3 linked regions of the Mus musculus genome follow. The main gene of each other region encodes a partner of the protein of the gene in region 2 in a complex. Links are inferred from orthologs where the notes say so. Each region holds a gene or a part of one and is shown on either strand. Other genes may lie near its edges. The genes, in order: Timm10b, Timm22 and Timm10.

What was found.
Region 1: Timm22 (region 2) and Timm10b share a complex: the UniProt entries of both Homo sapiens proteins name them as parts of the TIM22 complex. The link is inferred for Mus musculus from reciprocal best matches to the Homo sapiens genes TIMM22 and TIMM10B.
Region 3: the proteins of Timm22 (region 2) and Timm10 are in contact, whole or in part, in a cryo-EM structure (PDB 7CGP), measured with the Homo sapiens proteins. The link is inferred for Mus musculus from reciprocal best matches to the Homo sapiens genes TIMM22 and TIMM10. Residues at the interface, in NP_037469.2 of Homo sapiens: Tyr25, Ser26, Leu28, Leu29, Gln30, Tyr31, Leu32, Val33, Arg40, Leu42, Leu47, Gly48, Glu67, Glu144, Ser145, Tyr146, Gly148, Ser150; in NP_036588.1 of Homo sapiens: Pro3, Ala6, Gln7, Leu9, Ala10, Ala11, Leu13, Glu14, Val15, Met17, Met18, Ala19, Tyr22, Ser44, Lys45, Gly46, Glu47, Arg53, His62, Glu63, Gly66, Leu69, Thr70, Ser73, Met74.

What each region holds. Positions count from the first base shown.
Region 1 is NC_000073.6:105,638,999-105,642,355, reverse strand, and holds Timm10b (mitochondrial import inner membrane translocase subunit Tim10 B), read right to left. Parts: upstream 1,912-3,357; 5' UTR 1,764-1,911; coding exon 1,734-1,763; exon of another isoform or gene 1,681-1,733; intron 1,595-1,680; coding exon 1,499-1,594; coding exon of another isoform or gene 1,488-1,498; intron 1,329-1,487; coding exon 1,152-1,328; coding exon of another isoform or gene 1,128-1,151; 3' UTR 735-1,127; coding exon of another isoform or gene 694-734; 3' UTR 510-693; downstream 1-509. Other genes in the region: Arfip2 (arfaptin-2), read left to right, coding at 2,933-3,031, 3,251-3,347. UniProt on the Homo sapiens protein: Component of the TIM22 complex, a complex that mediates the import and insertion of multi-pass transmembrane proteins into the mitochondrial inner membrane.
Region 2 is NC_000077.6:76,405,718-76,409,964, forward strand, and holds the start of Timm22 (mitochondrial import inner membrane translocase subunit Tim22), read left to right. Parts: upstream 1-1,426; 5' UTR 1,427-1,487; coding exon 1,488-1,725; intron 1,726-3,924; coding exon 3,925-4,121; intron 4,122-4,247. UniProt on the Homo sapiens protein: Essential core component of the TIM22 complex, a complex that mediates the import and insertion of multi-pass transmembrane proteins into the mitochondrial inner membrane. In the TIM22 complex, it constitutes the voltage-activated and signal-gated channel.
Region 3 is NC_000068.7:84,825,730-84,829,828, reverse strand, and holds the start of Timm10 (mitochondrial import inner membrane translocase subunit Tim10), read right to left. Parts: upstream 2,809-4,099; 5' UTR 2,682-2,808; intron 2,231-2,681; 5' UTR 2,187-2,230; coding exon 2,116-2,186; intron 40-2,115; coding exon 1-39.

The sequences.
Region 1 (3,357 bases), on a different chromosome or scaffold from region 2:
GTTTATAGCCTGACATTAAAAAAAAAAAAAAAAAAAAAGTTCTTGCCTGGCAAGCACAAGTACTTGTGCTCCATCTCCTGTAAAACAGTAATAAATGCAGACCCCATGCTGTCGCTTGCCCTGCAGGCTGTCATCCTTGAAGCCCCACAAGGTGGTACATGCCACATCCTCCTTCCTTCCCCATCTCCACACTAGGAATGAAGTCACAGAACCGGCAGCTGCCAGGAAAGGACTCCTCCTGAATACACATGTGAATCCCACAAGAGGGGGTGGGGAGTAATGAAACAAGAATAGAGAAGCTGGCATCAGAGCAGTTACAGTGAGACTAGTGTAAGGCACAGGGTAGAGAGCTGAAACTAGATTAGACAAGCAGTCAAACCCGAAGAGGAGGGGCACAGATGGCATTTAACCATCCCTCCCTAACACCATCTCCCTCTCCCTCGAGTTCTCTTCCTGAGGTTTGACCAATGCTGCCTTCCTGACTGACTCTGAAGACAAGAAAGCACTTCTTTGTTTAAAGTCTTTATTGCTAATTTCACAAAGGCAGGAAGTACTAAGAGAGTAAATTGGGGAAATGGTCAACATTCCTGAATTCTTAGAGGCTTGTCTTTGTTCTGTTGTCACTGACCTCCTAGGAAGCAGTGGCTAAAGCCTAAGGGGGTAGAGTTTTCTTCCTGCTTTTGTTGTTTGGTTTTACCTTCTTCCCCTAGGTTCACAGCAATTCTTTTTGACAGCTGAAAATAAAAACTAGTTATGAGTCAATGTATATTCAGGTCCTTGAGTTAGTCCCAAGGACAGCCACTGAGAGCTCTCCTTTTGGAACCAATTTCCCATTGCTATTACTAACCTTAAAGCTCTACCCATAATCCCTGCTTTTGCTGGGGTGCTGGGAATGCTGAATTTGTCCTTCTACACATAAGAAGGCACTACATCAACCTCCAGGGCTAAAGGCAGTACACATGCACTAGATGACAGAATAAAGGCTGGTACCCATAGACAAATAACCAGACTGTAAAAACGGGTTTATTGGCTCCAAGAAAAGGAGCAACAGCACCCAGCTTTCAAGCTCAATCTCTCTGTACACATTTAGATAAGCCCAAGGTCCATAGAGGAGCCCATCCAAGCACCTTCTCTCCAGGGGCCAGGGACGGCTAGCTGCCTGATGGCGAGTCTCTGGTCTGTTCTGCAGGAATACCTGGCGCGGCCGAGGCAGCCTCGTAGTCCGCGATGCGGCGCTGGACCAGGGCGGGCATGAGGTGCACGTAAGCGGCCATGAGGCGGTGGTTAGAATGGATGAGTTTCCCAGCACAGCTGTGCAGGCAGGCCTCCTGGAAGGAAGACGGAGGGAAGTAGAAACTAAAAGGGGTCCAGTCAAGCCCGCCTCCTTCCTTCCCGGTCCCCAGCCTAGGAGTGAGGTCAAGAAAGAGGGAGAAGATGGGGGGCTGGGGGAGGGTGTCACGTCACGTTGTCAACTCTGGGACCCCCACACTGTCTCCACCTCCTCAGCGTCCAGAGCTCGGTGGTGCAGGCTGGGCACACAGCGCTGGAAACACAGTTCTGTCATCCGATTGTAGACCAACAGGAAGTCTCGCAACTGAGAGAAAAGGGAACCACGACTTCACCACCGCTAAGGCTCCCCGGGATGCACAGCCCGTCTCCCCCTCGGGTTCTTGCGTGTACCCCTGGAAACAAACTGCACGTCTAACCCAGAGAGCAACTGCGCTCTCACTCACGTTTCTCAGTTGCTGCTGCTGCTGCTCCATCACGCCAAGGGCGCACAGCCCTAGTCACTTCCGCCCGTGGCGGGGTGGCAGGGTGGCGCGGGGTTGGGGGGGCGGAGGGGGGAGGTTAGAGCTCTCAGAGTCGCCCCGGAAGTAAACTCTCACTACTCCCCAAGAGCTTGAAGGCGTAGCTCCAGGCTCGTCCTGCCCACAACTGCAAACGTCACTTCCGCCCTTTTTCTCTGCGACGTGGCCGGCTTCTTCTGCCCAGAGAGCATGTCACTTCCGCCAAATCTCTGACCTGCTGCTAGGATCGCGACGAGAACTGGAACCCGAGGTCCCCGCGCGGTCCGGGCCTCGCGCCCTGAGGGGAAGAGCGGCCCGGCCCAGGTGAGAAGGACATACTTGGACGAAGGGAAGTTGAACGCACGAACCTGTACTGAGGGCAAAATGCCCTGAGCCCTTGGCAAGGATGAGGACACACCTGATGCCCAGGTGTATGGGGGTGGGGGGAGCCCCTCACATCTGGGAGGCTTCAGCTGACTTTGGAAGGGATTGCCCGTGTCCTGGGAAAGAGAGCCTTTCACCTGACACCAGGAACATTCACTAACTGCTTCAACCAAGGCCTGCTGGGGAGGGCCTAAGGGAGTCAGGTGCATGAGATGGAGAAAGGAAGAGCCCAGACCGGCTGAAGGAAGAGGGGAAGGAACACCAAAGAATGTGAAAGACCAGGATTGTAGAGCATGCCTGAGTGGCAAGTGAGAGTCTGAGCCTAGGAAAGGGTTCTGGTAAACATTGCCTCTGCAGGGTTAAGTTCCCAGAGAGCATAGACCTCCCCTCTGGTCCTCACTGCTATAATCCCATTGCCTCAGTATCTCACTCATAATAGACACTCACTAGATAGTTGTTGAATGACTGAATGCATGAATGGTTACTGAAGGCGAGGTAGGGGGGTTATGAGAAGACACCCGAGGCTTTGGTATGCATGCATCTGTAGAGATAATGTCCTCAGAAGAGAAGAAACACACAAACTCAAGGAAAGCCGTGGTGGCTGATCCCAGGACACCCAAGCCCAAAGACAACCCCTGAAACCTCTGAGAACACAGGGAAGGCCTCCTTGTTCTGGAGTGCTGGCCAGTTTCCAGAATTGTCTGTGTTGGGCTTTACAGCGTGCTGGGGTGGAGACCTTGACTCCAGTCCCTTCCCTAGCCATGACGGACGGGATTCTAGGGAAGGCAGCCACAATGGAGATTCCCATCCACGGAAATGGCGAAGCTGGGCAGCTTCCTGAAGACGATGGGCTGGAGCAGGTGCTTCTGTTTGATTCTTCTCATTGTTTTGTTATACATTCCTGACTTATAAACCTTTAATTTCCCCTGTCCCGGTAGCCTTCAGTTAACTAAACTCCTTCATACTTTTCAAATCTTCTTTATGGTTCTGTACAGACTTTACTATGCACTGTCTCCGTCCCCAAAATGTTTCATCCATCCCTGTGTTCCTGAGGTGCCCCCCTCTTCTCTGACCTATAGGACCTCCAGCAGGTGATGGTGTCAGGACCCAACCTCAATGAAACTAGCATTGTGTCTGGTGGCTATGGGGGCTCTGGTGACGGACTCATCCCCACAGGTATGAATGA
Region 2 (4,247 bases):
CTAATGACTGGGCAGTGATGGGAGGTAACAAAACTTCCTTGGCAGTGAGCATGAAAGCAAAGGGATGGACTCAAAAGACAGGTGTGTATAAGCAAGAAGAGAGTGATTCACCCAGCCAGGAAACAGGAAGTGCAGGTGTGTGTGTGTGTGTGTGTGTGTGTGTGTGTGTGTGTGTGTGTGTGTGTGAAAGAAGTTCTAACTTCACCTGTAGCTCCTAGTTACTCTCTGCTGTTGGAGGACATTAATCAAAGCCCCTTAATTGCAAAGTCATCTGTCCAGGATCTGGAGAAATGGATCAGGAGTTGAGAGGGCTGGCTGTTTTCCAGAGTTCCTGGGTTCAATTCTCAGCACCTATATGATGGCTCACAGCCATCTGTTAACTCCAGTCCCAGGAGATCTAATGCCATTTGCTGGCCTCCCAGGTACTACGTGTACTCGGTCCACAGACATACATTCAGGTAAAGACTCGTTTGAATTAATTTAAAATAAATAAAATCTAAAAATAAAGTCACTTGTCCAGTACCCACTGTGTACAACAAACCGGTCAGCTAAGCAGTATCTGTTGGCACATACCTTCTACCAGCCATAGGGCTGTGACGTTTTTCCATTGTTAACCATAGTTGTATGCAACTAGTATGTATATAATACTCTATACTCAGCTTGCTCGCTCTCTCTCTCTCTCTCTCTCTCTCTCTCTCTCTCTCTCTCTTTTCTTAAGCATAGTTTCTCTGCGTAGCCATGGCTGCCCTGGAACTCACTCTATAGACCAGGCTGGCTTCAAACTCAAAGATCTGCCTGCCTCTGCCTAACTGATTTAACTGATTTAAGGCTTGCTAGACCACCACTCAGTTCATTTGTTGGCCTCCTTCTTTATTCCTTAAAGGCTTAATAACTATGTAATAAAATACATTTAGAACATATGTATGCCATGTTTCAACACTTACTTACAAAGCGCGTACATTCGATCTCAGAATACCAACCAGCCTGTGGTTCTAGTGAATCAGGTAGCTGCATCACTGCTGCATGGCTTAGAAACAAAGCAGACACGCGCGTCCCCTGCTGCAAGCTCAACGAACTGCAGCCTAACAGGAGCCCGACCGCTCTTCAGCGGCTTCTCAAGAGTTTTCAAAGGAAGTAGCATGTCCAGTGAGCACGCACGGCTTTCTGGGAAGTGTAGTCAGATGTTCGAGTTAGAACTACAAATCCCGGCACGCACCGCAATGGGGCCCCTAGTTGAGGGGTGTTCTTGAGATATTGAGTCTTGTCTGATTGCTTTTAGCAATGTCTTACAAACTTGGCAGCTGTTTAAAGAGGCGTTGAGGAAGCACGATAGCTCCCTCGACGCTGATGCATAGGCAGACTTTGCTTCTACACCTTCTTCAGTGTGGCGAATCTGCCGTTGTCGTCACTCTGGCTGGACGCCTAGGTAAGCGTGTGGAATCGGCTGTGGGAAATACGAAGTGAAAGGTACTAGAGCCCCTACGGTCATGGCGGCTACCGCCCCCAAGGCCGGGGGTTCAGCTCCTGAGGCAGCGGGTTCTGCCGAAGCTCCGTTGCAGTACAGCCTTCTTCTTCAGTACCTGGTGGGCGACAAGCGTCAGCCCCGGCTTCTGGAGCCTGGCAGCCTGGGCGGGATCCCGAGTCCTGCCAAGAGCGAGGAGCAGAAGATGATCGAGAGGGCAATGGAAAGTTGCGCCTTCAAGGCTGTGCTGGCCTGTGTAGGAGGTGAGACGAGGCTCGAGGGGCCCTTGGGATGCTGAGGGCTTGAAGAGCCTTAGGATTCCTTATCAAGACAACGCGTTTAGGAGGCAAGGAACCTGTAGGTGTCGACCTTGATTGCACCCGGACTTGCTCCTTGAACCCGGAGATGTCTCTCTTGACCCTGGGGTTAACAGTCAGGGTATGCAGGATCCTAAGTAGTTGCTTTCTGTCGTTCGTTTGTTTGTCATTTCATTCATTCATTCAACATGTTGTTACTATGTAACTGTCATGAGCGGACAGGAGCCCTGAAGGTCTAATATTAGGACCCAGAGAGAATGCTGTAGACACATAGGGAGTTGCAAAATTGTCCTTAAGGCAGAAGTTTGGAGCTTGGAAATTATTGCTGGGTGGTGGCGGCCCAGGCCACGGGGGTGGGGGTGGGGTGGGGGGAGGGGCTGAGACAGACAGGCAGACAGACAGAGCTACATAGAGACACCCTGTCTCAAAATAAAACAAAAAACAATGAAGACCAGTATGATTAGACAGACGGGGTGGGGCTGGGATAGACATTAACAACCCCCAACACACACACACACACACACACACATTCACATTTTGAGGATTTGAGAATGTACAGCATATTTAAAACAGACGGGGTGGGGCTGGGATAGACATTAACAACCCCCAACACACACACACACACACACACACACACACACACACACATTCACGTTTTGAGGATTTGAGAATGTACAGCATATTTAAAACGTGCAGGTGAAAAGGTTAGGTATATTTGTAGATGAATTCAAATTTCATTACAAATGAAAAACATTAGCCGGGCAGTGGTGGCACACGCCTTTAATCCCAGCACTTGGGAGGCAGAGGCAGGTGGATTTCTGAGTTCAAGGCCAGCCTGGTCTACAGAGTGAGTTCTAGGACAGCCAGGGCTACACAGAGAAACCCTGTCTGGAAAAACAAACAAACAAACAAACAAAGCAGGGAGGAAGAGGCAGTCAGATCTCAGAGTTCCAGGTCAGCCTAGTTTATATAGTGAATTCCAGGACAGCCCGGGCTCCATAATAGAGACACTAACTCAAAAAATCAAAATAAACAAGCAAGCCAAAAAAACCCCAAACAACCAAACAAAACAAAGTTTCAAAAAATGTAGTAGAAAGAGAGTTTGGGAGCTAGAGTGATTGGAAAGCAAGAAATTCTGGGAGAGGAGGTATCTGGCTTCCCTGAGCTGGTCTTGAGGTGATCATCCTAAGAAGGCATCATGTAGAAAAGGCTGGGGAGCAAGCTCAGTTGGTAAAGTGCTTGTCATGCAACCATGAAGGGCTAAGTTCAGTTCTCAGCATCTCTCCAAAAAAGCCAGGTTTGGCTGGGTGAGGTGACCGGGACCTCTAAGCCCAGCACTGAAGAGGAAGAGGCAGGGGAATGAATCTCTGAGTTTGAGGCCTGCCTAGGCGGTCTGCATATTGAGTTCCAGGACAGCCAGGGCTGTTACACAGAGAGACCCTGTCTTGAAAAACAAAAACAAAAACAAACAACAACAAAAAGAAATTGGTGTATAGTTCCTGAGGAATGACATCCCAGGATTGACCTCTGGCCTACACCCACATACACACAAAGAATTGTCCAAGGCTCAGCCAAGTCATTTGTCCACAGCAACATAAGACTCCACACTTAAGAGTCACGTGACTTTGAAGGCAGTTACTTAACCTCTCCAAGGTTTGGTTTAGAGAGGCCAGCTAGTTGGCACTTGAACACACCTTTAATCCCAGCACTTGGAAGGCAGAGACAGAGGTATCTCTTGATTTACCTGTTTTACAATAGCAAGTTCCAGACCCGCCAGTGTTACATAGTGAGGCCCTGTCTCAAACAAAAAAGCCAGAAAGGGGAGATAATAACATCTACCTCACAAGTTATTGTGAAAAATAAGGAGAACCCAGAATACCTGGTGCATGATGCTTACTGAGGGACTGTGAATGTTGTCACGGTCAAGGGATGATATACAACATTGGTAACTGAAAGCTGAAAGTCAGAAGAATGGACGGAGGAAGAAATGCTAGAGGAATTGGGGGGATAGACTCCGACTGTGTGCTGCAGGGGAGGCAGGATCGGGATTGAGACCAAGAGACCCGAAAGGCCATCTTCAGTTCTCATCCCAAAATGGTCATTCAGAGAATGTGCAAAAGAACTCTTCTCTCTGCTTGCCTCTAGGGTTTGTCTTGGGAGGCGCGTTTGGTATCTTTACTGCTGGCATTGATACCAACGTAGGCTTTGACCCAAAGGACCCTTACCGGACACCAACTGCAAAAGAAGTCCTGAAAGACATGGGACAGAGAGGAATGTCCTATGCCAAAAACTTTGCCATTGTGGGCGCCATGTTTTCATGTACTGAGTGTCTGGTAGAGTCTGTAAGTGCCTCTTGCATTTTAAGAAACCCCTTTCTGTTGCCACTGTACTCTTTTAAATTATCTTTTCTTTAAAAATCAGGTTAAAAACGTGTGTGTGTGTGTGTGTGTATGTGTGTGTGTATGAAT
Region 3 (4,099 bases), on a different chromosome or scaffold from region 2:
TGGGGAGGCACGCACTTCCGGTGGCAGGCACTGGTCATTCTGGGATTAGAGAAGAACAAGGTTGTATCAGTGACTTCCTGGAGCATCCCAGGCACCTTCAACAAGCCCAACCCTGCTGCATTGATTCTTGCCTCGTTCCCTCCGTCAAGAAAACAGCGGGAACCCCCAGTTTTCACTTCAACCACCTTGGAACGCTTTTCCAACTAAGACTCTTCTTTGAGTCATGTACAAGACTAGTTAAAGAGGAAGCACTTGCTGAACACCGGCTGTGTGCCAGGCGTCACGCTAAGGGCTAATACAGGTTCTGTCATGCAACCCTCACAGTAACCCACTGGGGCAGGCACAATCACTATCCCCACTTTACAGACGAGGAAATTAAGACACAGCTCAGTAAGAGCTGAGGGTCACACAAAGCTAGGTAGTCTGACTGCGCAGTCTGTATTTTAAAAACCATTCCAATTTGTAGTCTCCAAGACAAACCTACCGAGAGCTGCTGTCGAAAACCAGCAGATACCTGCTGGTTCCTGTATGATGTGCTAATGCTAGAGGCTTTCAGTTTAATATTGCAATGTCTTTATGGAGGGAGCAGTGCTTCTTAGGTCAGTTTTACTGATGAGTAACCAGTTATGACATTCAGCCTAAAGACACTCAGCTGCTGATGGTGCAGCAAGATGTTTCCAAACGGCTACAAGCAGTAGTTTGAAGTCAGGCTGAAGTTCTGGTCCTGACATTGCTACTGACCAGCTACAGCCCCTGAGATTATTAAACCCCTTGACACCTCAATTCCCCTGTGTTAAAATAGTACTAATAAAATTAACCCACTGATTTTCTTTCTTTCTTCCCTTTCTTTCTTTTGAGACTGGTCTCATCTATCCCAGGCTGGTTTTGAACCCACTATATAGCCAAGAATGATCCTGAACTATTTAGTCTCTGGCCTCTAACTGCTGAAATTATAGGCACCATGTCAAGATCAAACCAAGGGCATCCTGCATTCTAGACAAAAATCCTACGTTATTATATCCCCTTCTCCCTTTGAATTATTTTTAACTATTTACAAAACTGATAATGGGGGCCTGGAAAGTGGTTAAGAGAACTGACTGCTCTTGCAGAGGACCTAGGTTAGGTTCCCAGCACCCACACGGTAGCCCACAACTATCTTTGACTCCAGTTCCTGGAGATATGATGCCCTCTACTGGCCTCTGCGGGCATGCAAGCAAAACATCCATACACAGAAAACAAGTAAACAAACAAATAAATAAATTTAAAGTGATAATATATATAAAATGCTTTGCAAATGCCTAACACAGAGTTAAAGTATAATTTAGGCCGAGTGTGCACACCTTTAATCCCAGCACCCAAGAGAATGAGACAGGTGGATCTCTGAGAGTGAGGCCAGCCTGGTCTATACAGATTAAGCTGACAACCAAGGCAACACAGAGAAGCCCCATCGTGAAAAACAAGAACAAAACAACATCCACTCCATCCCCCCCAAAAAGGAAGAAAAACATTAATAAATATTAGCAACTAAATACTATTCATTACTAAATGGCTGTTCAGAAGGCTTAGGCGGCAAAGGCACTTGCTGCCAAACCAGAAGATTTGAGTTCAATCCAAGATGAGATCCTATTAAGCTGCCCTCTGACCTCCACATGTGTGGCGCTATGGCATGCATGTTGGCATTCATAAACAAACACAAAATACATAAACTACATAAACAAGGGTAAATGGGCTATCTAAGGAGAAAGAAAGATGGAAACGAGGAGAGAAGAGAAGAGAAGAGAAGAGAAGAGAAGAGAAGAGAAGAGAAGAGAAGAGAAGAGAAGAGAAGAGAAGAGAAGAGAAAGTGCTTATATGTTCTTGATACTCAGCAGAGCCTGGGCAGGAGATTCTCCATCATACACCCCTTTTATTCCCTCCAAATAGCCAACCAAGTCCTTCCAGTGACCTGTATTTACTTCAGCGAAGCACGCGGTGAGGGTGGGGCGGGATTAGGAGGGCGGGACTTGGCTCCACTACCTTATCGAAAGCATTCGTTACAAGTGCTTCACTCTGTCGGGCTAGGGGTGACTAGGGCGAGTTTTCCTAGACAAGGTGAAGCCGAGTGCTTCTCTTTACCTGTTGTACATGTCAGCCATCATCTCCACCTCCAGCTCCGCAGCCAGCTGCTGGGCTCTGAGCGGATCCATGTCAACTTAGCACCGTGGAGAGAATAGCCTCCTGGTCTTTAGTCCTAGGAGCGGACATGATCAGTCAGCATCGATCCCTCCCGGTTCACCCTAGTACCACCCCCCCGGGGGGGCTGGAGGGCGCGAGGAATTACAGTGTTTCAGACCAGCGGGGACCAATACCCCGCTCAGTAAACGTAATCAGCCCTCTTAACAGAAGTGGAGATGAGGCCCTTAAAGAGGACAGTGTCCAGCTCAAGGTCACTCGCGATGTCATGGGGCTCGGGGATGGAAACCGAGCCCTCTTAGTACCTCGAGATCACTCCTAGAGCCAGAGGATTGACAGTTGGGACGGAACACACAAAACCGTGGGTCTGAACCCATGCAGCCCCGAGAATGTGACCCTAACCACAGCCTAGGTTCCCGGGGTGGGTCTAAAGGCTGAGCCTCTGTCACGGCAATGGCATAATCAGGAATCAGGGTTACCCTGGGTATCAGACACCACGGCCCACTCACCACGGCCTGGGGCAGGTCACAGCTCCCGCAACGTCCCCAACTTCGGGTCAATAGTAAAAAGTTACCGGGTACCAAGGCAGGCGAAATAAGAAGCACGTGGGTCACTTCCGGAAGGAAGTCTAGCCTCTTCTTTGATCCGGAAGAAAACGCCGACCAGGCTGCGCTGGGAAACCGGCTACCATAGAGAAACCGACCTTAATTTGCTAGAGTGGACTCCAAAGTACCATAGAATGCTGAGTGAGTGGCAGAGCGCCGGCAGCCTTGTTAGCATTCCATCCCTCCGGTTGTCCGGGAGACGCCTGAGCGTTTGCAGTGTGGAAGAAGCTTGGCTCCCTGAACCCACCATGGAGAGCCCACGCCAGAGCGCAGACGGATCTTATGTGAAGAAAGGAGAACGTTTCCCAAAGGAGCCTGTCAATTTTGCATGTTAAAACACCTGGAGCACTTTAAAAAAAAAAAAAAAAAAAAAAAAAAAACACCTCAGCGCCCAGACGTTACCTCATACCCCTGAAATCAGAATCCCGGGGAGCAGTGTGCAACATTAACTAGTGGAGTTGCAGAGAAGATACACGATCGCTGCTCGCAGAAAAAAAGAAACATGTATAGAGATTGTCTTTATTTGCTTTTGAGGCAGGGTCCCATGGAACCTAGGCTGCTCTCTAATTTGCGGTGTAGCCGAAGATGACCTAGAACTTACGAACCTGCCTCCACCTCACTAGTGCTTCGGCTACAGATAAGCGCCATTATGCCTGACTTTTGCAATGTTGGGATGAAAACAGGACCACATGCTTAGGCAAGCACTCTATCAACTGCCCCAGTGCTGCAACATGTTTTACTGCACTTCTTTATTATAGCCCTACACATGCACAATAAATAAAGTAAGTAAATAAATAAATGTAATAATAAAAAGCATTGGGTTTATCCCTTTAAAATTTTATTAGGGCAAATTCACAACACAGAACACAGTCTAATGAACGTCATTGAATCTATCCCCAAGATTTAATAATTCTTACTATTTAGTCACATTTTCTTGATCTATTATCTTTAGCAGATGAAGTCTTTTTCCCAAAGTGCTATTTTCACATTCTCAGCTAATAGTGATGTTTTTTTCATCTCTCTTCCACAGTGCTGAAGGTTGAATCCAGGGTCTCATGCAAACCCTCCACAACTGAACTACACAGGTCATTTGATATACTATTTTTAAATTTAAATTTATTTATAAGAACATGTGTCCTTGGGCTGGAGAGATGGCTCAGTGGCTAAGAGTACTGACTGCTGTTCCAGAGGTCTTGAGTTCAATTCCCAGCAACCACAAGGTGACTCACAACCATCTGTAATGGAATCCAGTGCCTCTTCTGGTGTGTCAGAGCTACAGTGTACTCATAGATACAGAAAATAAATATATTGAAGAAGGAGGA